3 linked regions of the Coturnix japonica genome follow. The protein of the gene in region 3 interacts with the protein of the main gene of each other region in a pairwise test. Links are inferred from orthologs where the notes say so. Each region holds a gene or a part of one and is shown on either strand. Other genes may lie near its edges.

Region 1 (2,700 bases), on a different chromosome or scaffold from region 3:
GTGCTATTACATCTTCGGGGACCTCTGTGGAAGTACGACACTTGACTCTTGGTTTGGCATGAGTGAGAGGGAAAAGATGAAGGGAGACAAAGTCCTGCAGAGCTCTGCTAACACAATGAGGGCGTACCTACAGTTATTACCACCAGACTGAGCTCTTTGTTCTGCAGACTCTGGTAGAGTGGGATAAAGAATATCCCAACTTGTTTGTTGTGCTGATGGAGCTGTGAAGTTGGAAGCAGCATTGACAGTGTCACCTGCTCTGTGTTCTTTTCACCTGCATAACCTTAGTCTTTGCCATCTCTTTTTTTCAAGGCCCTGAACTTCCAGGGTTGGAAAGTGCTCAGACAACTGAGTTATGCTTAAATGAGGGGGCTGGTGGGAGTTAATTAGTGAGGTAGAAGATAGCTGTGATGTGGTCCTTTCTGATGTGAAAGTTGTTTTACCCAGCCTGTTTTCCAGCCAGAAAGGGCAAATGCCTGTATTTCATGGCAGAGAGAGTGCCAAGTCCTTTAGTCTCCTTGCATGCCCCATCATTGTCCCTGTGAGGGCGGACATGGAGCTTCAGCATCACATGTGGCTGTCTTTCCATTTGGCTTAAGCCCTCTTCTCTGCTTTCTTGCAGACATGGCTAATCTGTCCCTTCATGATCACGATGGCTCCAGCGGTGCTTCAGATCAGGACACTTTGGCTCCGCTCCCACACCCAGGAGCTGCACCCTGGCCCATGGCTTTCCCGTATCAGTATCCACCACCTCACCCATACAACCCACACCCCGGCTTCCCTGACCCAAGCTACAGCTACGGAGGGGGCAGTGCAGGCAGCCAGCACAGTGAAGGTGAGTGGAAAATATCAGAATGTGCCTGTGTGGGCAGATGCAGCAGGAAAAGGCTGCTCCTTTAGACAACACCTAATGTATGGGGGGAGCAAGCATAAAAGCCTTCGTTTTGGTGAATTCCAGAAGGGTTATGTGACTCAGCATTGAGAGACTGAGAGCATGGACTGTGCAGGCAGTGCTGCAGTGTGTTCAAGTCCTCTCTTGGTTAGAGGAGCATCCTTTCTTCCTGACTTGTCCCTTCTTATGATTCCTAATGTTGCCATGTGTACTTTGCAGGGAGCCGGAGCAGTGGTTCCAATCGCAGTGGCAGCGAGAGGAGGAAGGAAAGAGAGAAGACCGGAGAGTCCAAGTCCGGTGGCAGTGGGAGTGAATCAGACCACACCACGAGGAGCAGCATGCGGCGTGAGCGTGCGGCCAGCGAGCGCTCGGTGCCTGCCAGCCAGCACAGCCAGCGTAGCCAGCACTCTCTGGCTCACAGCATCCGCAGCCATCACAGCCAGCAATCCTACGGGCCGCCCGGCCTCCCCCCTCTCTTCAGCCCCCCCATGTTGCTGATGCCTCCACCACCGTCAGCCATGGGGCCCCCCGGGGCACCGCCGGGCCGTGACCTGGCATCTGTGCCCCCCGAACTGACAGCCAGTAGACAGTCCTTCCGAATGGCCATGGGCAACCCCAGTGAGTTCTTTGTGGATGTAATGTGAAGCGCCCGTCCCCTGTCTGTCTGCTGCCCCTCCTTCCCCCCCTTCCATCCCCATCGTTTGTCTCCTAGGACCAGCCCTGGCTTCATCCCTTGTTTTTTTGGGATTTTTTTTTTTTTTTTTGTCTTGATAACTAAAAGAAAAAAAAAAAGGGAAAAAAAAATAATAAATGGAACTAAACCTTGATTCTAATCCCTCCTCAAGTGGGGTGGACGGGCCTGGCAGCCCTGCTGCGTTCCACCAGCCCATCCCGCCACCAGAACCATGTATTGCTGATGGTTATTCCCTCCTGATGGTAATTCCCTCCTGCCATCCTCTCTAACCCCATTAATCCGCATCCATCCCAGCACCCTGTGCTGCTTGCCCGTGTGTCGCTGCTGCCTCACTCCTTCCGCCCTAAACATTCTCTTCTTTCTTGTCACCCTTTTGTGTTTCTTCTATCAAGCAGCAAAGAATTACGGGGTGTTTGACTTTCTCTGAGCCTGCTGCCCACAGGGGGGAGAGCTGGAGCGTGGCGTGGCCCGACAGGAGGACACGGAGCTCCAAGGGCGCTGTGCGCGCATGGCGCTGAAGATGGCTGCTTTTCTCCCCCTAGCGGAAGACGCCCTGAGAGGGGAGCCGGGCCCAGCCTTACATGAATTTTAAATCCCTTTGTAGTTGCCTTTCAGCCAATGTCTGAATGTTCCAGGGCTTCACTGCCTGTGGGGAATGGGGAGATGGTGCCCTTTGCCTCCCCTTCTTGCCCCGGCCTTAGGGAAGAGCACTCCTTCCCCCTGCCCTGTCCTTGGCACTGGGGCCATGCCCCCTGCCTTACTTCCTATGGGACTTGTAGAATTCAGGGCTATGGGGTGAGTGCTCACTTGGCCCAAAGAAGCCTAGAGAGGGCCTCTGCCCTGCTCTTTGCCCCCGTCACTTGCAAGGGCAGTCCTTGGGGCAGCTGTGGCTCTGCCATTGCAACACCACACAGCAGTGGGACCTTTTTGAGAGCTGAGAATGCAGCCAGTGAGTGAGGGAAGGCACACTATGGGGGAACACAGTGTTTGTGTGCAGAGAGGGGCAGCACTGACCTTACCCTGCTCCATTCCCTGTGTGCGATGCTTGGGAGGGACGTGAGCTTTGTGGGCAGTGCTTGCAGCTCCTCTGGGCTCACACAGAGCTGTGGGTCAC
Region 2 (10,626 bases), on a different chromosome or scaffold from region 3:
GAGATTTTTTTGATCTTCTATATTAACTGATCTCAAATGCTCTATATGGAAGGCACACAATGACAGCTGTCTTCAGTGTTGGTGGGGTGTTTTTATTCCTTTGTACACCTGTTTTTTTTGTATTGCACTTCTATATAAAATGTGCCTTGAAATAGTTGTAATATATAGTTCAAGGAACACTATTGGTTATATTGTTGTACTGTGAAACTCCTGGGACGAACGAGAATCAACCAGGTTGTTGTTTCTGCATTGTCTCGTTCTCTGAATTAAAAAAAAAAAAAAGACACGATTTTAACAAAGCACAAGAAGTTAAATGCATGCATTTTCCTCGGTGGAATCAGTGAAGGAACCTTTGCTACTCTATTGATGCTTCTGTTCTGTTGTCCCAAGTTATTTGTAAGAGTAGCAACAGGGGACAGCTGGGAGTGCAGATCTGAGGTGTGTAAAGTGAAATTCAGATTTGATATAGCATTTGTATATTTATTTTTTATCTTGGCAAATTGAGCTCTAGTAAACTTAAGGTTTTGATTTTTCACGTCAGTTGGATGATATTTTATGACTGTCTGATTCTAGAAAAATGCAGTTTTAAGTTAAAAAAGATTCAGCTGTCACAGAAGGTGATGTATTCTCTTTCAATGATTTTAACTAAGGTAATGTTACATATTTTTAACTTAAAATTATCACCTGTGCATTTGACGGATTAATATGGGATTGAAGATTAGTGTACTTACGCAGATTTATTTTTTTGCATGAGTAATGATTTAACAGCAAAGAAAAACATCTAGGAAAACTTTAAGTGATTCATCTGGGATTATTTTGCTATAGCAGAGTCTAAGATTTTAATGATCTAGCATCAAAACAGAGGTAAGACTTGCGTTAATAAACTGTTAATGTGTCGCCAAGGCATTTGTAAAGCTTATTATAATGTGCTGATAGAGTCGTGCCATGTAGATTGCTTGTTTTACTTGGGGTTCAGAAATGATTCAAATACCATTAAGTACAGCTTGATGGGTTTCCTCAAGTTCTCAGAGTCTTTAAGTGAGACACAACTGAGACAGAAGTAACTATTACCAGTTTCCTGATAAGGAAGGTATCAGTTTTTTTTTTGTCACTTCCGTAGCTACATTGTGCTTTAATATGCATCATATAATTTTAAGTCACAGTGGTGTGAATGTGCATAATTAAATATGCAATAGTTGGAGTAGAGAGAGAGAGATTTTATTTCCTGGTATAGAACTGAAGCTATCTGCATAACTGGTCATGATTTTATTGATTTTTTTTTTTTTCTGAAAGGGCAAAGAAATGATTAAATCATGTAAAGCATCTATAGAATTTTTAATTCTTTGCCCTTTTCCCCCCCTCTTGGTTTTAATTCTCCTTCCTTGTATGCAACCACTCTTATTACATGGTATCTGACTTGGTATTTAAAAGAGCTGATGCTTCTATTCACATCAACAGCTTTGTGTGTTCTTAAGAAAATATGCTGACTGCAACACTAAGCAGTATTAGTTCTAGACCTTAACCAAAGATAAAAGTGTACAGTATAATCCTTGCTAATGCCTAGGGAGAGAAATAGAAGAGCATCTGATTGAGGGAACGGTTATGTTAAGCTATTTGTAATGTCATTATACGTACAACGTACACTTGAATTAAAAACCAGTAATATCAATTGCAAAAAGCTTAATACAAAGAGCACTAGCTTTCTGAAACTTAACCACTTAATTCTTCCAGGTTTTGTTGTGTGTATGTTCAAGTGGATTTGTGGAAACAATGCCAAGTTTTAGTTTTAAAGCTAGTAGGAATTACTTTTCATAGTTACTGGATTTGATATTCTTGCATGTGTTGTATTCTATGTAAATTGCAAGGGAAGGCTACTTGGTGCCATGCTAACTCAGAACATCTGGAAAAAAACTTGATGGAAAGAAATAGCATTATAGGTAACTATGCAAATTTCTATACAGGTAATAAATACTTTACATTTTGGCAGGAATTACATGAAGGAACTGATGAGATTTTTAAACCTGTCCCAATGTCCGGCTACCTGGTACTTCTAATTCTGCAGGTGACATTGTTTTGTGGAGAGAAAAAACAGTAAATGACTTCAGCACTGTGAACTCCTTAAACTTGCAGTGAATGATGAATACAGTGACAAGGATTTGCAAATGCCTAAAAATCAATGCACATCTGCCGAAAAGCTTTTGGGGTTGCATCACATTGGTCATCTCCAAAGTGGTCCTGCTTCTTTGCGCAGAATGAACATCTCTAAGAAAACTTGCATCTTGTGTTACATGGATTGTATTATAGCTCAACACAGTTTAAACTTCAAGGACCTGACATTGGACATCACATCAAGAAAGAAAACAGGTTGCTGCCTTTAGCAGAATTGCAGGCTTCCAGGACCTTTTGCAGCCAGATTTCTTCTGGAGCAGCCCATCTGAGATTTGGGAGAGTCAGTTGGAAAATGTTCTGTGAGGCAGAGTTTGCAGAGCTTAAAATTGTTTAAGGCTTTAATGTTTGAAAGGTAGTTGATAAGAAAATTACTATTTACAATTCTTTTTGTTGCTTGTGTTGGTTGCAGGAGAGAAAGAGAATATGGCTGTGAATCACAGTAGTGGAAGTTTCTTATTGTTTTTTTTAATCCTCAAAATTTCTTTCTTTGTCACTTAAAACTTAAATGACCCTCTTGCTCTTGGATAGTAATGCAAATCCTGCCCTTGAATTCACAACAAACCTGTTCATGGTTTATAGTTTTATATTTTTTTTTTGCTACAGGGCTTATGCTTCTGTAGGAAGACAGATTTACATTGTGTTGCTGAGCCTTGTAAAAGAACTGATTGTGGACACTATTGTGAGTTTGGCAGACAGTTTGAAGGACTTTTGAACTCTTCCTCTTTTATGGAGTCGGCCACATTGCCTATATATTAATTTGCATACTACTTCCTATAATGCTTAACAGTACAGTTTTATTCGTCATGATTAATGATGTGATGTTACCTATTTAGCAGAGAAAATCTTGACAGCTCAGAGTACTTTTTTCTGCCCACTTCTCAAAGAAACTGGGTATTCTAAAACATTTATGATCTGAACTTGTCATTCTAAATGGGTGTTACTGCTTCCTTAATTTCCTGCCAACTTTTAACTGCATTTTACTTTCTCCTCATCATCTAAGATGTGCTGAGCAAAAGCTGATTATAGGAATTACTGTACACTGCTGTCAGATATACAAATTGAGTTGAAAAGTAGACATGCAACTCTTCAGTATTCAGAAGAATGTCCTAACCTCTCAGAGGAAAAATGGATGTCACTATAAACATAATGATCATTTTCTTAATATTTTGCCCCAACTTTGTTCTTAGTTTTACTCATGTGATAAAGGAAAAAGGCTTTTGTTAATAGTTTAGTGTATGCACTTTGAATGCAGTAATTAATCTTTAAAATTGCAAGGCACATCCTTAATCACTTAACTCAGCTGAGAATTAGCACATGCAAGATTGTGCGGGCTGGTAATCCAGTTTCTGGTATCAAAAAAAGAACGATGCTTGTTCATGTTTGCAGTAATAAAACTTGCCTTCTGCTTTATGGGACATCAACAGAAGATCAACTGACGCTGGAACAGCATGCGGTAATATAGGGAGATTTTCTGCTATGACAATTATGTTGAGACATAATGTTCCATGAATTGTGACATGCAGAAATTGTATCTCCTTTTTGTCTGTAATTGTGATTGAGGAAGGTTACAGAAGGTTTTGTCTTCAATTTGTGATAGATTGGTTCTTTCCTTTGCAGCCAAACAGGCAAAAAGTTAATGGCGAAGTGTCGAATGCTTATCCAGGAGAATCAAGAGCTTGGAAGGCAGCTGTCCCAAGGACGTATTGCACAGCTTGAGGCAGAGTTGGCTTTACAGAAGAAATATAGTGAGGAACTTAAAAGCAGTCAGGATGGTAAGGGATTTTCTTAAGAAAATGGAAGTTGCCTTGCACTTCTGCTAGCTTAATATTCTGATGATATGGGTATTTTTTTAAGTCTTTGCCAGAGTTAAAGGGCAATACCAAGTAAAACGTGACTGTCTTAAGTCTCTACTGGTAGCCTTAAAAAAAAAAAAATGCCACCAAAAAATAGAACAGAGGTTAAATTTTGGACTACTGGTGGGATTTGCAGCTCCTTGTAATGTGGGATTTGAACGTAAAACTACTAGACTTTGTAGGTCTTGCTATTTAACATGGGATATTAAGGTAAGCATGCATTGAAAAAACAGAAAGGTTGTGAACTGACTCATTTGGGAATTACTTGAAGGGGGGGGAGGGGGGAGAATGTAAGAAGAATAAAAATGCAGTTTTTTATTAAGCAGCTGAGATTAATTAAAATGTTCCATTATTGTACTCATGATCCAAATTTTACAGCGTTGTGAATGTAAATTAGAATTAGCTGTAAACTCTGGCATCTTGTATGTTTTAAATGGCAGGGAAATGCAAATTTTGAAAATCTTCAGCAGAAAATTCAGCCCACATTCTGTGTTCTTTGAGATGCTTGATGAAAGTACTTGTAGTCAGGTAGATTAGACAATAGATGATCTGATTAGTACACTTAAATCTTGAGACGAGCTAATTAATTAAACCCAGGTATCTTTGTTTCACACCTGGTGTCTGTAAGGTAGCATGGACATGATTTGGCATTTGTCTAATATATCTTGTTATTTTTTTTTAAGGGTATGGTGTTTTTTAGTAGCAAGTAGCCTTAGTAACTACTGTTTATAAACTAAAATGAAGTACCTTACCTAGTTCATAACCAAAGCAAAGTAGACATTTCTTTAATGATTTCTGCTCTTGAGTGCAGTGTAGTAAAGTAAGCTGCAGAACTACTATGTTTTTAGGCCCCAACTTCTTCCTCATATGAACAATGACTATGATAATCCTGATATTTTCTTAGTGATTTTTTTCCATGCTAACTGGCATTTAATTTTGATTTTTTACAACAATAAGCAGTTTGCATGTTACTTGCTCAGTTTCGTTAATGTGCAGTTGAATTCAGGCTGCCATGTTTATCTTTCAGGTCAAATTCTTTATGGTCCAAAATGCAGCCCCAGTTGTAAAAGATTTTTTTCTTCTGTACATAAGAACTTTGTGGAATGAACTTTTGTTGATAATAAATTCAACAGAAGTTTTACCCTCCCTGTTTGTGTCATGTTACACAGGATTAAATGTATTATAAGCAGCCGGAGCTGATGTTTCCCTGAAATGTGACTACAATTCTTTTGTCACTGGGTAGGTTTTTGTGATTATTCAGAACTTATCCCATGCAGATAAGCTTTTTATGGTCACCTTTACAGTATTTCTGCAATGCCCTGCACTTCAGTAAAAGCAGATATGTTAGAATCTATTTGCAAAATATGAATTATTGGAATTGAGCTGCTTTCCGTGCATCTTCTTGTCCAGAAATGAATTTCTTCTCATATATCCAAAGTCATAAACATAAAAAGTATAGCTGATAGTTTAACATCTCCTTCAGAGGCAGAATATCAAAATGGTGTGCATATCTAATGATTGAAAAAGTTGGTTGAGTAACTTCAGCATAAAATATTGCTACAGGATTTAAATTTTCTTGTCTGACGTTCAAGCTGTATGTGGGTTATTAAGTATTTGCAACACATGTGTTTTCTTTGTTTAGAATTGAATGACTTCATCATCCAGCTTGATGAGGAGGTAGAGGGTATGCAGAGTACCATTCTAGTGCTTCAGCAGCAGTTGAAGGAGACTCGCCAGCAGTTGGCGCAGTACCAGCAGCAGCAGTCCCAGGCCTCCAACCCAGGTACCAGCAGGACTCCATCTTCTGAGCCTACAGACCAGGGAGAGGCTGTGGGGAAAGACTGCAGCCGTCTGGCTAACGGACCAAGCAATGGTAGCTCCTCCCATCAGCGGACGTCTGGGCCTGGATTTTATAGGGAGGGTAGCAGCGCGGAAGATGACTTCCCGGCTTCTCCAGGGAATGGTAATAAGCTGTCCAACCACTCTGAAGATAGAACTGGTAGAGGAGGTGGTAGCTACATAAACCAACTCAGTACTGGGTATGAAAGTGTAGACTCTCCCACTGGCAGTGAAAACTCTCTCACTCACCATTCAAATGACACAGACTCCAATCATGATCCTCAAGAGGAGAAAACAGTAAGCGTGAAAGGTAACAGAACTACGGGTTCTCGGCATGTCCAGAATGGTTTGGACTCCAATGTAAATGTGCAGGGTTCAGTTTTGTAACATTTTTTCTGCAGCATTTTTATACAGTGTCATTTAAATTGGGAGAGGATACTGTTCAGAAGCCGTTTAAATTAGTGCATACTTGTCACAATTTTTGCCTTTTTGTGGATTTCTTTTTGCTTCGATACCTCTGCCACTTTGGGAATTTTAACAGTTAATTACGTTGAATGTTGCTAAAAGGACATTTGTGTAGCTCAAGTTATTTTTATATGAGTTAATGTGAAGTTGAAATGGAAATTATTTCCATAAAGTATAACATAAATGATGTCTGTACAAATCTGTGTATATCTAGAACCTGTGCTGTGTAAGGGCATTCTTACTCATACTGTTATACTTAACACCACCTTCGAGATTTGTCATAATAGCTGTGGGTTTATGACTGCCAAGTTTGCCCAGTACAGTAGTTTTATCACTAAAAGATGGACTTGCTGAAGGAGTCCCTTAGTAGTTTCAGTGTTAATTACAGTTTTTCCCACCATACATCTGTGCATTTTCTCCTTAGGTGACCGAATGTTTATGAATTGTGTGCATAGTTACTCAGTTTTTAAGAACTGTTGTATCCTGTTTATGCATATTGCTCTGTGACTCCAATATTATCTTACCTGTACTGACCAAACCTAAATAAAAACTTTTAATAATGTAATTTCCTCATTGTTCTCCCTTGGCTTACACGGCTTACTTGTATGCGGTGTCATACTCTTTGGATTGAATTTGTTTCTGCACCAGTCCTATCTAATACAGATTATGCCAAGTACCTGTGCTTATGTTATCATGTTAATTTCAGGCCAGCCTTTCAGTATTTATTCTACAGATATATATATATTTTTTTTTTCCTTATAGATAGTTTAAAAAACAACAAAAAAAAATTAATAAAAGCAAGCTTCATAGTTTGAAACTGGTTCTTGTTAAAACTTAGGAAGTGTCCTGGAGGTAAATGTGTCATAATTTAGTTTGTACTTCTAAGCGGTTGAATTACTTCTTAAGGTGATACTGTTTTTGATTGGTCTATGGAAGGGGGAGCTTAGTGAACTGACTTTGTAGGTGTTGCAAGTAGGGGGGAGAACACGCTGCTGTTGAACAAAGCAAGTCTGGAATTTCTCAGAACCTGAATTTCTGGTGATTGTTTTCTGTCTGTTTGTGGTTGTAGCAATATGGAAGGTGATGAAAAGGGTACCAACTTCAGCAAGCACTGCTGATAGGGGAAAAAGGAGAGTATTTAACTGTACTTTCAGGTCGACTTAAGTCTGGTTTCAGCATTTTTCTAACTAAGAATCTTGCAGTTACCAGACAGCTAATGCAATTCCCTCACATGCATCTGCTAAATTAATATTAAATAGCTTACAGTGTGCCATTTACTTTGGGAATACAGGAACTGTTGTTTGAAAGTAATATTTCTCTAAAGTTAGGAGATACTTGGGTGTAACTACAGGTTAGATAGTAAAATCATAGATTATAGAAGGGCTTCCATTGTATTAAATGAGAATTAACACCTCTAGTATTACTGTCTGCAAAAAGTAGAATTAGTTACAACTACTATTAGCCTTTGTGTATGTTGGAAACATACTAGTCTATGTACCACTGATACTTTAATTTCATAGAGCTTAATTAGAGGTTTAAAACAACTCAGCAGTCACTGGAAGTATTGATTCTATTGGTGATACCGCATGGGGTGGTTTGTTGTTGTTTCTTTTTTTTGGAACATTACTTCAGCCCTTACTGCCTGAAAAAAAGCAGTTAATGGACAGTTGGGCAAATAGAAATTAGGTGACAAGAAAAAAGTACCGGCATCCAAAGGTAATTTCTGGTTTACAAAAATCCCTGATAACATAAATATGTATTTGCTGGTGCTTTACATTTGGCTTTAATATCACCTGATTATACTGTGTATATATATGTACTTAAGATACTTTGTGTATATTATTATAAGTTTAAAAGGGTAGTAATAATGATAGACAGTTACAATGACTTGATAATACATATGGTAGAAAACCTTGTGAGAATGGTGGTGGTTCTGCTCTATCATGTAACCGGCTTGCTTTTTTGCAATGCTTACTGCAGAATAGTGAAAAGCAGTATAATAATACACAGATAAATGTTAAAATCAGTAATGTTCACATTCTGGCTGTCAATACATACAGCCTATGGTATGGCTCTTAATAATCCTGGAGATGACTGCTGGTGCGTTGTTTTCAGGAAAGTCCTGTTTTCAGGTTGGTTTTGATTAAGATAATTCATTTTGTGTCATACCTACTGATAAACTTAGAGTTTCGCTGCTCATTCTAGAGTACAGCTGGCTGATAACAAAAACTGAAGTTTGCATGGTATTCTTGAGGCTTTTAACTGGATATTGAGGGGGGGAGCTATTCTGTACACCTATGCATTACAATGCACTTTGATTCCCTTTGTGGATCTCCATGTGGGTTTGCTGGCAAATTCCAAGATGAGGTAAGTTATTCTAAACCTGGTTGTTCAGACTTCACCCCTTCTGCTGTCTTTAGTCCTGTAAATTTAGGTTAAGATCTCTGAACATAAGTGCTTATATAAATAAGGCCAAAAGAAAAGAAATGGTTTGTGGCAGCAAAGAGATTTTCCCCAATTATTTGAATTAAACTTCATCTAGTGTTAGTCTTCATTTTGCACAATGCTTCATTACTGAGGGAAGGACTCTCTTCATTGGCCTTAGGGAATAAGTAATTTTACATGGTTTTTTTTCAACTCCTTTGCACTAACTATTTAATACTGATTATTTTAGCTGATGGAGTTAAGGTGCATGAAGCGTTCTCACGAGCATTAAGGGCCATGGATGTTGGGAGAAAATGGATATTGGAAAATGAGATATGCAGAGACGTGAGAAAGAGAACTCAAATGGAACAAAAAGAGTAAGTAGATCAAATAGACGAAAAAGTTTCTAAGTGCCTCGTTCTCAGCAGTTGAGGTGGGTAGCTCCTAATGGCATCTGACCTTTGAAGGGGAGTGCCAGGCTGCTCGCAAGCTCTGGTACAGGCTGCTGCCCTGCCTCTGCTTGCAGTACTGACACAGGGGTTTCCAGTGCCTCTACTGTATGCCCAGGCATAACAGAGTGAAGTGACAGTCAAAAGACCTCTGTATTTGCTTCCTGTTTAGAAATGTCCACCTAAGAAACTGACTTGTTTCACACTGTGGTATGCTGAAAATGTTGAAATGTGAAGTATTCTACATACCTGTTCCACCAACCATTGCATTTGAAGTCAAGGGATGGCTACGTTTGATACATCTGTTATATTAAAAAAACAAAGGAGGACATATCATAACAGTTCTTTCTGTAGCCTATTCCTACTGCATTATGAAGCCCTAAGAACATCCCACTCTGCATGGGTCAAATTCTGACAAATTCCTCAGCTTACAGCTCATATTTTATATGATAATAAATGGGAAAAATACACACAGACTCCTGATGTCAAAGGGAACTGCTGTGGTGCGTTCAATGGGCCTGTTATCAAGGCCTGCTGCCAAGCCTTTCTCCAGCAGGCTCTCAGGGCTGAGCTGCTTGCTTCTGGCAGCACTGCCCATGTCATAGGTAAGACCTGCACACAGCAACATGCAGGATTCTTTTTAGAGTTTTACTTTGTTCTCTTCACTTACCCCATTGGATGTTTTCTCTCCTGGATCTAGAGCTATCACTGGGAGCACTGTGCCTATTGGTCTCACTAGTGTTGCTTAGAAAAATGACCCTGCCTATTTCTGCTTGATTTTAACCTCTGAAACATCTAGCGGCTGATCTAAGCAACTTTTTCTTCTGTGAATTGGATTAAGCATGCTGTATGTAACTTCTTTTTTCCATGTACTATTTCAATCAGTCTTAATGTGTTGCATCTGACCCCCACAAGTGGTGCACCTATCTAGTTAGTCTCTGTGTTACCTGTAGACTTACTTATATATTACATGGTCAGCACTAGGACTGTTACTCTGGCTTTATCAGTGAGCTGCTGTTCACTGCTCACATATACCACTGGTCTGGTAAGCAAGTCAGTGGCTCCACCTTCAACCCTGTACAGTGTATTAAAGGCACGTGTCTTTTAAACACCAACAGCGATTAACAACCCCTTGAAACCAGGCCTATCGACCCTCCCTCACGCACCCTCCCCTCCGTCAGGCCCCGCCCCGGCAGTGTGTGCACAGGCGCGGTGTGTGGTGGCTGCAGTGTCCGCCGCGAGCTGTCCGCCATGTTGTGCCGCCTGGGCTCGGCGGGCAGGTGAGAGCCGCGCCGCCGCCGGGAGGGAGGAGAGGTCGGGCTGCCGTGCTCGCCTCCGCCCTGCAGCGTGACGGGCAGCCGGGCCGTGGGCTGCCGTGTGCGGGCCGCGGGAGGGGGCGGAGGAGCTGTCACCTCTTGTGCTGTCCC
Region 3 (11,425 bases):
GTAACCTAATTATAGACGGCCCCGCAAGGGGAGCCGCTTCGGTCCACTCGGCCAGGAGCTCTCCCCGCCAATTATTCCACACGCTAATCTCTCTGGATAGGCTTCTTTCCTTCCTTCATTACCTCATTCCCTCCTTCCCTTGACGTCAACTCACGTTCGTTAGCGAAGCGGCTTCTGGAAGTGACAGAATTGTGTTGTCCCACTTCCAGTTCTGATTAATCAGAGGCGATAGACCCGGCCTACGAGAGGAGCCGCCGCGGCTTCCTTCGCGCAGGGACATTGTTTTGTGTGCTGCAGTTACTTAGCAACTCCGAGATACGGGACCGGCTCCAAGTTCACAAAAAGTTGAAGAATAAATTTTGGGGAACTTCTCACTAAACACGTTGTAAAACTGCGAGAGGCACGCCCAGCCCCCACGCCACACCAAAAAGGAAGAGAAGCCGCGATCGCAGCGGGCCTTCTGTTTGCGGGAGCAAAACTCCACAAGTACTTTCTTCCCAGCAAGGAAATCTGAGGGCTGTATCGCCCCGTGCTCCAAAAATCACCTCTCTGCGGTCCGGTCCCCTCCGCTCAAAGGAGTGGAGCCCAAACCTTACAGGGAACTGACATACAACCGCCCGACCCCGCACACTCTCGTCGCGCACCGCTGGCCCTGCCCTGCCCTGCCCTCCTCTGCCCAGCCGGGTCGCTGCGCCGTGGGGCCGGAGCGGGGCAGCCGCGCGTGGGGCTGCGGGCACCGGGCCCCGCCTCGGGCAGCGAGGGATGTTCTGGGACACGCTTGGACCGGGCTCGGCCGGCGGAGCCCTGCGGCCCGGGAACGGGGACGGCACCTGCCGGGTGCCCGGCTCGGCAGGGGAAAGCCCGAGGCGCGGCGGGTCTGGGCTATGGGGCCAGCGCCAGGTTTTTACTTAAACGCGTGCATCCTATTTTCCTTTTTGTTGTTGTCGTTGTTTTGCTTTAGTTTGTTTGTTTCAAGAGGAAAGCAGACCCGACCTTCTTTTCCCGCTGCAAAAGAAAGCCGTTGGCGCAACACGCCCGGCAGCAGAGCATCCCGAGCAGCAACCGAAGCGAAACGAGGGGAGTGAGAACGGGGCGAGGCGGAGGTACCTGTTGTAGGGGGTCCGCAGGAGCAGGGCCTGGCTGCCCGTGCAGCTGTCCGTGGGGGTGTGACAGCCGTACACCGGAGGGGGCACCGAGTACTGCTGGTCCCCTGCGGAGAAAGGGACAGGGTTAGCCCGTGCCGCGGCCGCCGTCCAGCCCCGCGCCGTGCCGGCCGGGCCGCCCGGGAGCCATTACCTAGAGACGGCTGCTGGCTCATGGGGTCCTCGTGTTTGAAAGAGTGGTTCGTAAACTGCGCGGCGTGGTGAGACGGCGTGTGGCCGTAGCTCGGAGTCCCGTCAAAGGCCACGGTGCCGTAACCTGCCGGAGAAAGCACCGTGGGGTCAGGGGGCTGCCCGGCCCGCACCTGCCCCCCGCAGGGCGGCTCCACGCGGCCGTCGAGTGAGAGAAGCCCCCAGGGCAGACCCAGCGCCGCGGGCACAGCGGGGAGAGGCGCAGCCAGGGGCGCCCCCATCTCCGCTCCCCCAGCACACCCACGGGCACCTGGGGGGCTGGGGGCGCAGGGAAATGCCTGTGTGACCCCGAGGGGTGCGGGGGTACCGGGGTGTGGGGCTGGCGGGGTACAGGGGGGCAGCTCCCGGGAGGGCCGAGGCGGGCAGCCCGCTCCTTGGGGAGGAAAGTCGGAAGTCTCGTTCACGTTTCAAGAGAACAGATCGGCTTCGGTAATAAAAAGGATGTTTTCATTAATTGTTGCTCATATTAAAGAGGAAGATTCCCATCTGCTCTGTGTACTCCTCTGCCGTTTCCAATTTAGAAGTTACCCTTTAATCTCTCTCTCTTTTTTTTTTAAGAGCAGCTTTCTGAAGAGTCTGCAATAAAGAATGTTTCACGCAAAACTAAAACTCCTCCTTTCAGCGAAAATTGCTCTCCAAAATAACAAACAGCCGATTTGGTTTCCTACGCTGGGCAGATTCAGATGGAACGCGAGCACCTCTGCTGACCCCGGGCCGCTGCGAGCCCGTAAATCAGGTGCTCGGACACCGACTTTCATTAATGACTTGGAGCTGGCTAAACAACTTCGGCTAAGAAAGTAATTACAAAGTAATATTATCTCGGCGGCTTCTCGGCTCGTCAGCAGTTGCCCCCAGAACCGAGCTCCTCCGAAGTCACTCTTCCAGCAAAACAAAACAGAAAGCCCGGAGAGGGCTGGGAAAACAAACGAGGCCGGCCCCGAGCGCCCGCTCTCACACCGTCCCGTCCCTCAGCCCGCTCCCTCTTCTCGGGCACTCGCCGGACTCCTCTGCCAGCCCCCTTCGGACCCTGGTGCCCGGCTGATAATCACAGGCGCTTTTCCGAGGCGTTACGATGGGAGTAACGCAAGGATCCGGGTGCCGTTTCCGCAGTTGATTGTCTCTGCAGACAATAAAGTGGATCGAGCCGCGATACGGGGGTTGACCAACCTGCTGGTGTCCCCATCAGAAAAAATGTCCCCAACAGAAAAATCCCGAAGGCTTTATAGCCCTCACCTTCGGGACTGGTTGGAGCCGACCCGGCACGGCGGGGCTCACTCGCCCCGGCCCATCGCCTGCCCCCGCCCGGAGCCGCTCACGGCGGTGCGAGCGGCGCTGACAGCGCGGTACCGTGCGGGATGCCGGCCCACAGCTGCGCCTCTCGCTCCTTATCTCCTCCCTTGGCCCTCAGGGCAGAGGCTCAGCCTTCAACTCCCTTTCCCCCTTTTCTTCTTTCTTTCTTTTTTTACGTTCCGAAAACATTGACACTTTCTACGGTACATTTGGCCCGGCGCAGATTTTTGGCGACCTTCACAACGCAGCTCGGTGCAGAACGATGTTTTGGCCGCATTTTCCGGTGTTGCCTGACCCAAAGCTTCAGGAATGTGATAAGAAAGCCGAGTTCTGAACCGAGCTGCCGATAGCGAGGTCTCTTTAATTAGGGCTTTATCAGAGTCGGGCCTGATTAAAATGTGCTGAAAATAATTGAAAGCTATACAGCTGCTGCAGCACGGGGCCCGCGGGAGGACTCCAGTTGTGGAGGAGCCCAGCTTGGATGAAGGAGACGGGCGGACCAGAAGGGGAAAGCTGGGCAGAGCTTCCAAAGCCTCGCTCCCTACCCCCACGCCCCAGCCTAGACTTGGCTGAAGTGTCATCGCAGAGCCAAGGTAACGTCTTTCCCACGGTCGGAAGAACAGGCTATAAGCCCGGGAGTTCAACCTTGAGGAGAGCGAAAACAAGAACTTTTTATCCGCTGCCGAGAATAAATAAATCAATCAATAGAAAAGCGAGCACCCTTTGCCGAATTCCTCCTCGGCGAAGGAAGGAACGCTACCCGGACGGGCCGGAGCGGGAGGGAGGGAGGGGCTGCGCCGCAGCCGTGCTGCCCGAGCTCTGCCCCCCGCAGCAGGGCACGGCCACGCACACACCTGCACGACTCGCTGCCAAGTGCGGGAGCTGCCGCCGTCTCGGGGTACAGCGGTGTGCCCGCGAGCTGCGGAGCCGCCCGCACGGAACCCTGCCCGGCTTAAGGCCGCAGCCAAGACGGGTGCTGTGTTTCTGAGCGTTAAAGGCTCCCTTTCGCTTTGGGGGCTTAGAAATCAGAGGGCACCCACTTAACCACCTTGTCCTTCTCGTCACTACTTCTGCTCGGCCATTAAAACCGTCTCAGATATCTGAAATGCTTTCAGGTGTCCGAACAACACCAGCGGCCCCGTGCTGCGACGGCCGCCTCTGGGGATGCCGCGTAACTTCCCCAACCGAGCTGGGCCCTGCGCTCCGCTCCCAGTTTTTCGATATCGGCAGACCGGCAAACGCCTGGTCCGGGCCCCCTCTCCTTTACCCCGGCCCGCCTGGGAGCAAAGGCACCCCGCAACAGCCGGGAGCTGGAGGCCGGCCACCCGCAGCACCCAATCTACGGCCCGAGGCTGGCTGCTGGGCCGCGGAAGAGCGGAACACCCGCCGGCAGCGCAGAGCCTGCCCCGAGACCCTCCGGTCGGCTGCGACAGCGCTGCTCCGGGCCCGCTCCTCCAGCCGCCTCGCCGTGCGTGGGCACCTTCCCCCGGGCCGGGCAGAGCGGGGACGGAACGCGGCGGGAGGCGCAGCCCGGGGATCCCCAGCGAGAGCTCCGCTCTCTCTCCCTTCTTGTTCGCGTTAGCTCCAGCAGATGTTTACATTGCCGCCGCTGGAAGAAAAACCATTAAGCGATAACCCCGTTCCGTAGGCGGGGGCTGACCGATCGTTAACCGCGCACCCACGCCAATTTCTGGGGGCAGCGCGAACAGCGGGGCCACGACGCTTGCAGCCCGCCGTGTCCCTGCCGCGGAGCCGCCGAGAGGGAACCAGAAGCCGCCCGGTGCGTGCGGCCCGGCCCGAGGAGCCAGCGCTCCCGAGGTAGGTCCGACAAACGCCCGGAGAACAGCACCGGGCGGACAGCAGCCCGCATATTCAGGAGGAGGTAAACAACTCTACCCCCGCCCCTACACTGCACGGCTTGCAGAGGGAATGGTCTGAGGGCAGCCACCCCATCTCCACGTCGGGACCGTCCTCAGCCCGAATACAGTCCCGAGAAGAGAGGAGGCTGCCGTAGCCAGGGCCGAGGCCGGGGTAGCCCGCTGCGCCCTTGGGAGAGCCGAGAGCGGCTCCCGGAGCTGCCCGGAGGGGCGCGGCAGGGGCTCCGTACGTTCGGCAAACGCGGGTCGGAGAGCCCACGGCTGTGCCCGCGGGGCTGAGCCCGAGGCCGGGTGCTCGGCGCCGCCCTTACCCTGGTTGCGAATGGCTTGCTGGCTCTCCAGGCAGTTAGGCAGGTAGGGCCCGTTGGGGAACATCCTGGCCTGGCCGGAGGGCGGCTGGCTGGGCGGCGGGGCGCCGAAGGGCCCGTAGCGGCAGGCCCCGGCCGTGCCCGTGAACTGCCCGGAGAAGTGGACGGTGAAAGCGCTCAGGTACTGCTCCTCGTGCGGGTCCGACCCGTTCCAGCTGGGTTCCTGCTTGATGAAGGAGTGCGGCCCCAGCGAGCCGTAGGAGGCCCCCGGGGGGAAGTCCAGGACGGGAGCCCACTGCGCCGCGCTGCTCACCGGCATGGCGCAGTTGCTGTTGCCCGGTAGGGAGGGCACGGAGGGCAGCAGCGCGTTCAGGTCCCGGACGTCGGACCCCATCTGCTCGCAGACCTTCTGCCTGCCGCCGGGCAGCCAGTCTCCCCCCGGGCCGCACTTATTCCAGGACACCTGGCCTCTGCCCGCCAGGCCGGAGGCCGGCTCCGGCTGCAGGCACCAGGCCGGAGAGCTCAGCCCCTTGGGGGAGGTTTGCTCCGCGACGCAGCTCCCCGGGTCCAGCCCTGCGGGAGCGGGCAGCAGCGACAGGGAAAGGTTGTTCTCCAGGATCGCCTCCGGGGCCGCGCCCGCTCGTAGCGCAGGGCGGGGTGCGCGCGTGTCCGTGCGGCCGCGGCCGTGTCTGTGTGTCTGTCCGCGCGTGCCGTGGGGGGGGGGATGGCACAGCCGCCTCGCACGCCGCACCTCGGCTGCCTGCTCGCCCTCAACTTTGCAAAGCTCAAATAGAGGCGCTCGCAGGGGAGGAGGAGTCAGCCGCGAAGATCCTCCATTCACACAACCTTCGTCAAGGGGCTGCCCACAGCCCGCTCTGCTGAACCGACCCGGGCCAGCCGGGGGTGGGGAGCGCGGGGGGTCGGGGGGTGGGGACGCGAGGACGGAGGGGGAGAGGTTACTGTGGGAGAATATATCTCCCTTACGCATCCCTCCCACCCTTCCTCCGGTGCAAGCGCCACTAAATCTCACCCTAACATCCCTTCGCTTTTGAGAGACCTGGCGAGACCGCCAGAGGGATGCGGGCGGCCCCGTAAGTACGTGCCGCACCGCTTCCCGCAGCCCCGCGCACGTCCCGCGGGACCCCGGGCACCGAGCGGAGAAGCCGCCACCCCTGCAGGCGAGCCGACCCGGCGAGGGAAAAATGTGTCCTTCCAGGTGCTCTCCCCGTGCGGGAGACGTCCGCGTCCCCCGAGCCGCCCGTGCCTAGAGGGGAGGAGGTGGCTGGGCTGCCGCGGAAGGACCGCAGCACAACGAGCGCCCGCATCGGGGACTCACCCGGCGCAGCTCCGGGGAGGACCCGCACTCTCCCTTCCCTACCCAGCCCGGACGGCGGCTCCGCAGCACGAACCCGGCGGCACTTCACGCGTTATCTCGGACAGCCCTCCCGGTCAGCTCGGCGGGTTGGGGGCTAGCCCCGGCAGCCAGGGGGCCGCGACCTTTTCCCCGCCCCTACCGGCAGGGCGGACGGCGAGGCCCCCGGGACTCGGCCGTGCCTGCCGCGGCCAGGCGCACCACGGCATCCGGCGCAGATACGAGCCCGCCGCCTCCCCCCGTAGACGCGTACCAAGAGCGGGATCCTGCCCCCCTCCTCCCGAAGTACTCATCGCTATCGACCCGGCGGGGGGAAGGCTGAGCCCCTGGGGCACGCGTATGACAGCTCCGCCGGGCCGCTTGTGGGTGCGCTCCCGTTGCGCCCCGAGCTCGGCCGGCAACACTCGCACCCCCGCGCCCCGGTCAGAAGTCGCTCCCCCGAAGCTGTAGTGATAAAAGCGGTTACCTGCCGCTGGAAGGGTGGGCCCCGATGTCCTCCGGTGGCAACTCGCGCTGCGGCGTTCACGTTCCCCGCGGCATTAAAGGTTAGCGCTGCTTCCATCGCCGACCTCCAAACGATGTTTTAAAATTGCTGCAACAAAATAAATCGAAACGGCCCGTTACTGGCGAAGTCGAGTGTAATTTCATGTTGTCCTTACATTGATTAACAACACCCGTAGGGTTCTGCTACTAGTGAAACGGCGTTCATTTTCACACGCAGTCTTCAGACAAATCGCTTTTAAATCGCCCTCTTAGATGTGTACATAAGTGCGTTTGTTACACAAATCCGCGCGCACGATAAGTGCGAAAGGTTTCTTAGCCAATACTAAGGGCTGCGTAACTTTGAAGGAGCTGCTGCTCTCTGTGAGGACGCACAAAACGAATTTGGTCTCGGGAGATGAGCGAGTTCAGCCCGCTCCCGCGGAGAGAGGAGACCGCTCCCCTCTGCCCCCGCCCGCCCCCGCTGTGTGCTCGCAACCCGCCGCTCCCGCACCCGAGGGGTCCCGAGGCGTGGAACGGTGCGAGAAGGTCGGGGCTGCTGCTGGACCTGGACTTTCAGAGATGGACCAACATGTGGAGTCGGTCCCGTTAACCGCAGGCTCCAAAAATCTACAACGTACGTACTTAAATACAAACCCTTGTGTAGCTTAAGCAGAGCATTTGATTCCCCGTGAAAACCAGACTTCTCTTAGTACAAACAGAAAGCCCTTCCCGCAGCGGAACGGTTCCTTAGTTTGCATGCTTTTATCTATCTATCTTTCTTTTTTTTTATTAGCCTAACTTGAGAAATATTCTGGAAAAGGAGCAACGTTTTCTCGATCGCTTAGTTCTGCATTATTCCGCCCGGGAAGAATACCGAAGCCCTTCCAAATCTTCGCCCTCGCATTCCCAGCAGACACAGCCGAGAGCTGAAGCAAACAGCGCCCTCGGCCATCAGCTCATCTCCCTCCCGGCGGCCCCCGGCTCGGCCCGCAGAGACCCTGCGGAAGGCACCGCGCCTGGCACCTGCGCCTCCCGACACACGGCAGCCCGCAGGGACACCGGGCAGTGCGGGACGGAACGGGAGGACGCTCCTCAAAGCTGAGCCGGGACACGGCTTCAGCCGACAGGGGCAACCCGAGAAGAGGGGAGGGCTGGAGTCTTTAGGGAAACAGCCGGAGTCAGCTCCCGCAGCCGTTTCTTTACAGTCAGCACAAGCGAGAGATAAAAGCTCCCTCCTCCTTTGCGGGGTCGGAAGCGCTCCGGGGCCGCATGTCCCCTTCGAAGCAGTGCGGCGGGCACAGGGGACACCGCTCGCATCCTTCCCGGGTGCCCGGAACCTGCGCCCGGGCCCCTCCGGCGGGATCACGCCGCGCCCCGCAGCCCATCCCGGGCTCGGCGAGGCTCAGAGCGCAGAGCCGCCGGCTGCTCTGCCGGGTACCGACCCACACGGCCGGGACCTTCCCACCCTCTGCCCTCCAAAGTCGGTCCGAGCCAAATCTCGGACGGGCAGAAAGATGGGTGAATAGTTTTAACCTATAATTCCCGGGAAACCATCCACGTCCGATGCTGCTCACGGGCTAACGGTACGAGACCAACCAACGAGTATTTCTGGGACAGGGGTTGTTCTACAGAAAGCTCCGCTCGATCCTGGGAAAAATGGGCTCAGGGCGCTGCTCCCGAGCCGTGAAGCACCTCCCAGGCAGCGTTCCGCTCTCCGCTGCTGGGCCAACCAGTTAACGGCCCAGCCATCCTCACCACGCTTTACTAAGCTCCATAAACGATCCCCTCGCGGCTCGAAGCGGGGGGAGACTGGCTTAAACAGAGATAAATCCCCAGCGCTGTCGGAGCCGCTCACGGCACGCAGGGGGATCTGTGTCCTTTCACTCGGGGAGCCGATCAGAGTTTGATTACTTAAGCGCCAAGAGCAGCAGAAACAGAGCTGCGAACAGCTCTACAGGAGCGCGGAGAGGCGAAGAGGGGCCGAATTTCTGCTCACACCGCGGGCTCACACCGCGGCCCGACCTCGCTCTCCCCGCAGGAACAGATTCGGGCGGGGGAGACCCCCGGGCCGCCCGCTCCTCCTCGCAGCGCCCCCCGCGGGCGGCAGCTCCCGCTCGGCCCGAGGCCTCGGTGCCGATCTCGGCCGGGAGCCGGGACTCAAACCGCTTTTCTACCGTAAATCTTCCGAACGCTGGAACTAATTACGGAGGGGATGTGTTTCAATTTGTTCCGCATTAGCGCCGCGCCGGACCGCGGGCACCAAGCACGGGAAATTGATGAGCCGAGCCCCGGGCATCCCGCCGGCTCTACGGCCCTGACCCCGCGCTCAACCCGGAGAGCGGAGCGGGGAGGGACGGGACGGGCTCCGCGCTCCGCCTCCCGCACCTGCGGGACCCCGCGGCCACCCGGAGCTGCGATCGGAGCCCGGGACGCTGCGCTGTAGCGCCTAAAGCCCCCGCGAAGGGCACAAGAGCCGAACTGTGCCGAACTGCCGATGTGATGCTGGGAGCCGGCGCAACGCAGGGTGTCTTTGCGCTCCCTGCCCTGGCCGAGGTGCTGGGGATGCTCAGGCTGTGCCAGCAGTCGGCCACAACTTTCGGATCCGGTATATGTGGCGTATTGAAAGTCTCAGTTATACAAGGGGAAATATTCATGGAGCGGCTAAAATTATGAAATAGAATTCTCACAGGATTTTGGTACTTAGAAAAGAAACTGGGTGAAAAAAAAGCCCTTAGGTATATAGATAGATAGAAATGCCCAGGTCTTTACATTATCCCCAGTGGTTCTGAAGTAATTAAAATTATTATTTTTGGAGGAGAAAATAAGAATATACTGTAGAACGCAGCACATCATAAAAATGGATACATGGAAACCACGATCTAAGGGATTCATTTTTCCTGTTGTAGAATGCAGATTTCACTACATAAGTATATTTCACTCTAAATGCAATAGTACAGAAGGAAATCAGAAACGGTACCTGTTACACACAGAGATCCTAAGAATTCTTGGAGCTCCCTGGGATGTTGCATTTGAACACAGATACACACCTGAAATGTAAAAGAAACATTTATAGATTCAGAAGTGATAGGAAACATTCAGAGTAAACCTGCTGTGCTCATTGCCACACTGCAGTCTTTGTGGTCACCAGTGGGTAAGCAGCGGCAGCTGATAGCACCAGCAGCCTCAGGTCTCGCTGCCTGTAGGGTGTTATGGAAGGGGCACAGAACAAGAATTGCTCCGTCCTGGTTTCTCCAGCAGATCTGAACCAACCATGTTTTTCTTAATACTATCTGTGCCTGCTTTCACGTTACAGCATCACTGTGAAACAAGCACACTGCAACAGCACAAAGTCCATATCTCACTTTGTTCTTTCAAAGCCCCTTTTTGCAGTAACCCTGCATGAAGATACTCCTTCCACCAGCCCTCCTCAGGGGAAGCAAATGATGTTTTGGGGAGGTTGCTCTGACTTGAGCTGAGATCTCAGTACTTTTCACAGGACTCAGAGGAATACGTGCACACAAGCACCTGACTAAGGGTGCTTTAGGGCAAGAGCTGTTCCACTGAAATCAGTGCTGGAGGATTTCAGTCTATAAGGACGTAACACCTTGCTGCATGCAGGGGGGGAAGCAGGCAGAGTCTCTTTGATTACAGATGCCCAGGAGACAAGGTGCAGCCCTGCAGCTTCATTAGGAACTGAGCACACCTCGTCCTGCACTTAACTGCAGTCCTATGAAGGCACACCTCTCTTCTCTCTCTCTGGACTGAATGTACTGATATGTCTGGATTGCAGCAGTACACAAAAAGCAAATAAGCTCATTATTTTCCTCATCCAGTCAGCTAGAAGCAACAGTCAGTGAAAGTGTAGCTCTGATCAAAATGGGAACTTTCCCAGTTCTTTACTCTGAAGCTTCCCAATGTATTCTTTTGTTTGAGGCCAAAGATTTATGGCCAGGCCCTCTGTTATGTGCTAACACTGCTGCATGTGATAGACAGTTGGAGATGAAGCTTGTGGGAAGAGGTGCAGGAAGAAAGGAGAGAGAGGGAGCTCGTGTGTTCAGCTTGCCTTAGAAGTCAAATTTATTTGTTATGAGACACAAGAGACTCCTTTCCCTTCAGATCTGAAGGATGCTTGATTACCTTACATCCACTTGAGTACTGTTATGACAAAAGAACTAAAAACACCAAGATCTTGCCGTAGCCACAAAGTCAGAGACTCTTACACTGTTCATCTCGACAACTTCCCTGTTTCTCCCTCCTATAACATCATAGCAGGGTCCAATGAATTACAGATCAGAACCAGGACTTGCTTTTGTGATGGCTTAACAAGCCTCTCAAAGTACTTTACATGTTATTTGAAATGAAAGAAGCAAAACAAGGAGAAAAAAAGAAACCTTGCCAACTTGTTCTCTCTATATCTGTATGCTGAAATGAAACAATGAAAGGAACAGCTAAATAAGTGGGACTCCTTTCTAGGGATCATGTGATCTTAGATCAACTGTTCCATGAACAGATTTGCAAGTAGCACCACAACGCTAATCAGGATATTTCAAAAGTTTATGAGCAGTTGCTTAGGAAAAACAAGATAAAGCCTATGGAAATCTGATACTGGTCAACGGTGCATTTATTCAAAGCATAATGCTGACTTCAAGTCTCCATAAATCCTTTGCAAATGAAACTTCCATTGTGATCACTGTTCCAGATCTAAATGATTTATTTCTTTTTTCTTTGGTAGACCTTAGATAT

What was found.
Region 1: the proteins of WT1 (region 3) and DVL3 interact in binary tests that used the Homo sapiens proteins (3 or more experiments, as listed by UniProt). The link is inferred for Coturnix japonica from reciprocal best matches to the Homo sapiens genes WT1 and DVL3.
Region 2: the proteins of WT1 (region 3) and WTAP interact in binary tests that used the Homo sapiens proteins (3 or more experiments, as listed by UniProt). The link is inferred for Coturnix japonica from reciprocal best matches to the Homo sapiens genes WT1 and WTAP.

The regions. Positions count from the first base shown.
Region 1 is NC_029524.1:13,824,245-13,826,944, forward strand, and holds the end of DVL3 (segment polarity protein dishevelled homolog DVL-3), read left to right. Parts: coding exon 1-32; intron 33-622; coding exon 623-835; intron 836-1,111; coding exon 1,112-1,510; coding exon of another isoform or gene 1,511-1,536; exon of another isoform or gene 1,537-1,981; coding exon 1,982-2,013; 3' UTR 2,014-2,200; downstream 2,201-2,700. UniProt on the Homo sapiens protein: Involved in the signal transduction pathway mediated by multiple Wnt genes.
Region 2 is NC_029518.1:41,042,222-41,052,847, forward strand, and holds the end of WTAP (pre-mRNA-splicing regulator WTAP), read left to right. Parts: exon of another isoform or gene 1-902; intron 903-3,786; coding exon 3,787-3,941; intron 3,942-5,664; coding exon 5,665-6,248; 3' UTR 6,249-6,891; downstream 6,892-10,626. Other genes in the region: SOD2 (superoxide dismutase [Mn], mitochondrial), read left to right, coding at 10,451-10,479. UniProt on the Homo sapiens protein: Associated component of the WMM complex, a complex that mediates N6-methyladenosine (m6A) methylation of RNAs, a modification that plays a role in the efficiency of mRNA splicing and RNA processing.
Region 3 is NC_029520.1:4,406,497-4,417,921, reverse strand, and holds the start of WT1 (Wilms tumor protein), read right to left. Parts: upstream 5,632-11,425; 5' UTR 5,606-5,631; coding exon of another isoform or gene 5,552-5,605; 5' UTR 5,222-5,551; coding exon 4,831-5,221; intron 2,695-4,830; exon of another isoform or gene 2,586-2,694; intron 1,420-2,585; coding exon 1,297-1,419; intron 1,211-1,296; coding exon 1,108-1,210; intron 143-1,107; exon of another isoform or gene 128-142; coding exon of another isoform or gene 123-127; intron 1-122. Other genes in the region: uncharacterized protein LOC107314335, read left to right, coding at 5,552-5,605, 5,684-5,918, 6,044-6,288, 6,445-6,786. UniProt on the Homo sapiens protein: Transcription factor that plays an important role in cellular development and cell survival. Recognizes and binds to the DNA sequence 5'-GCG(T/G)GGGCG-3'. Regulates the expression of numerous target genes, including EPO.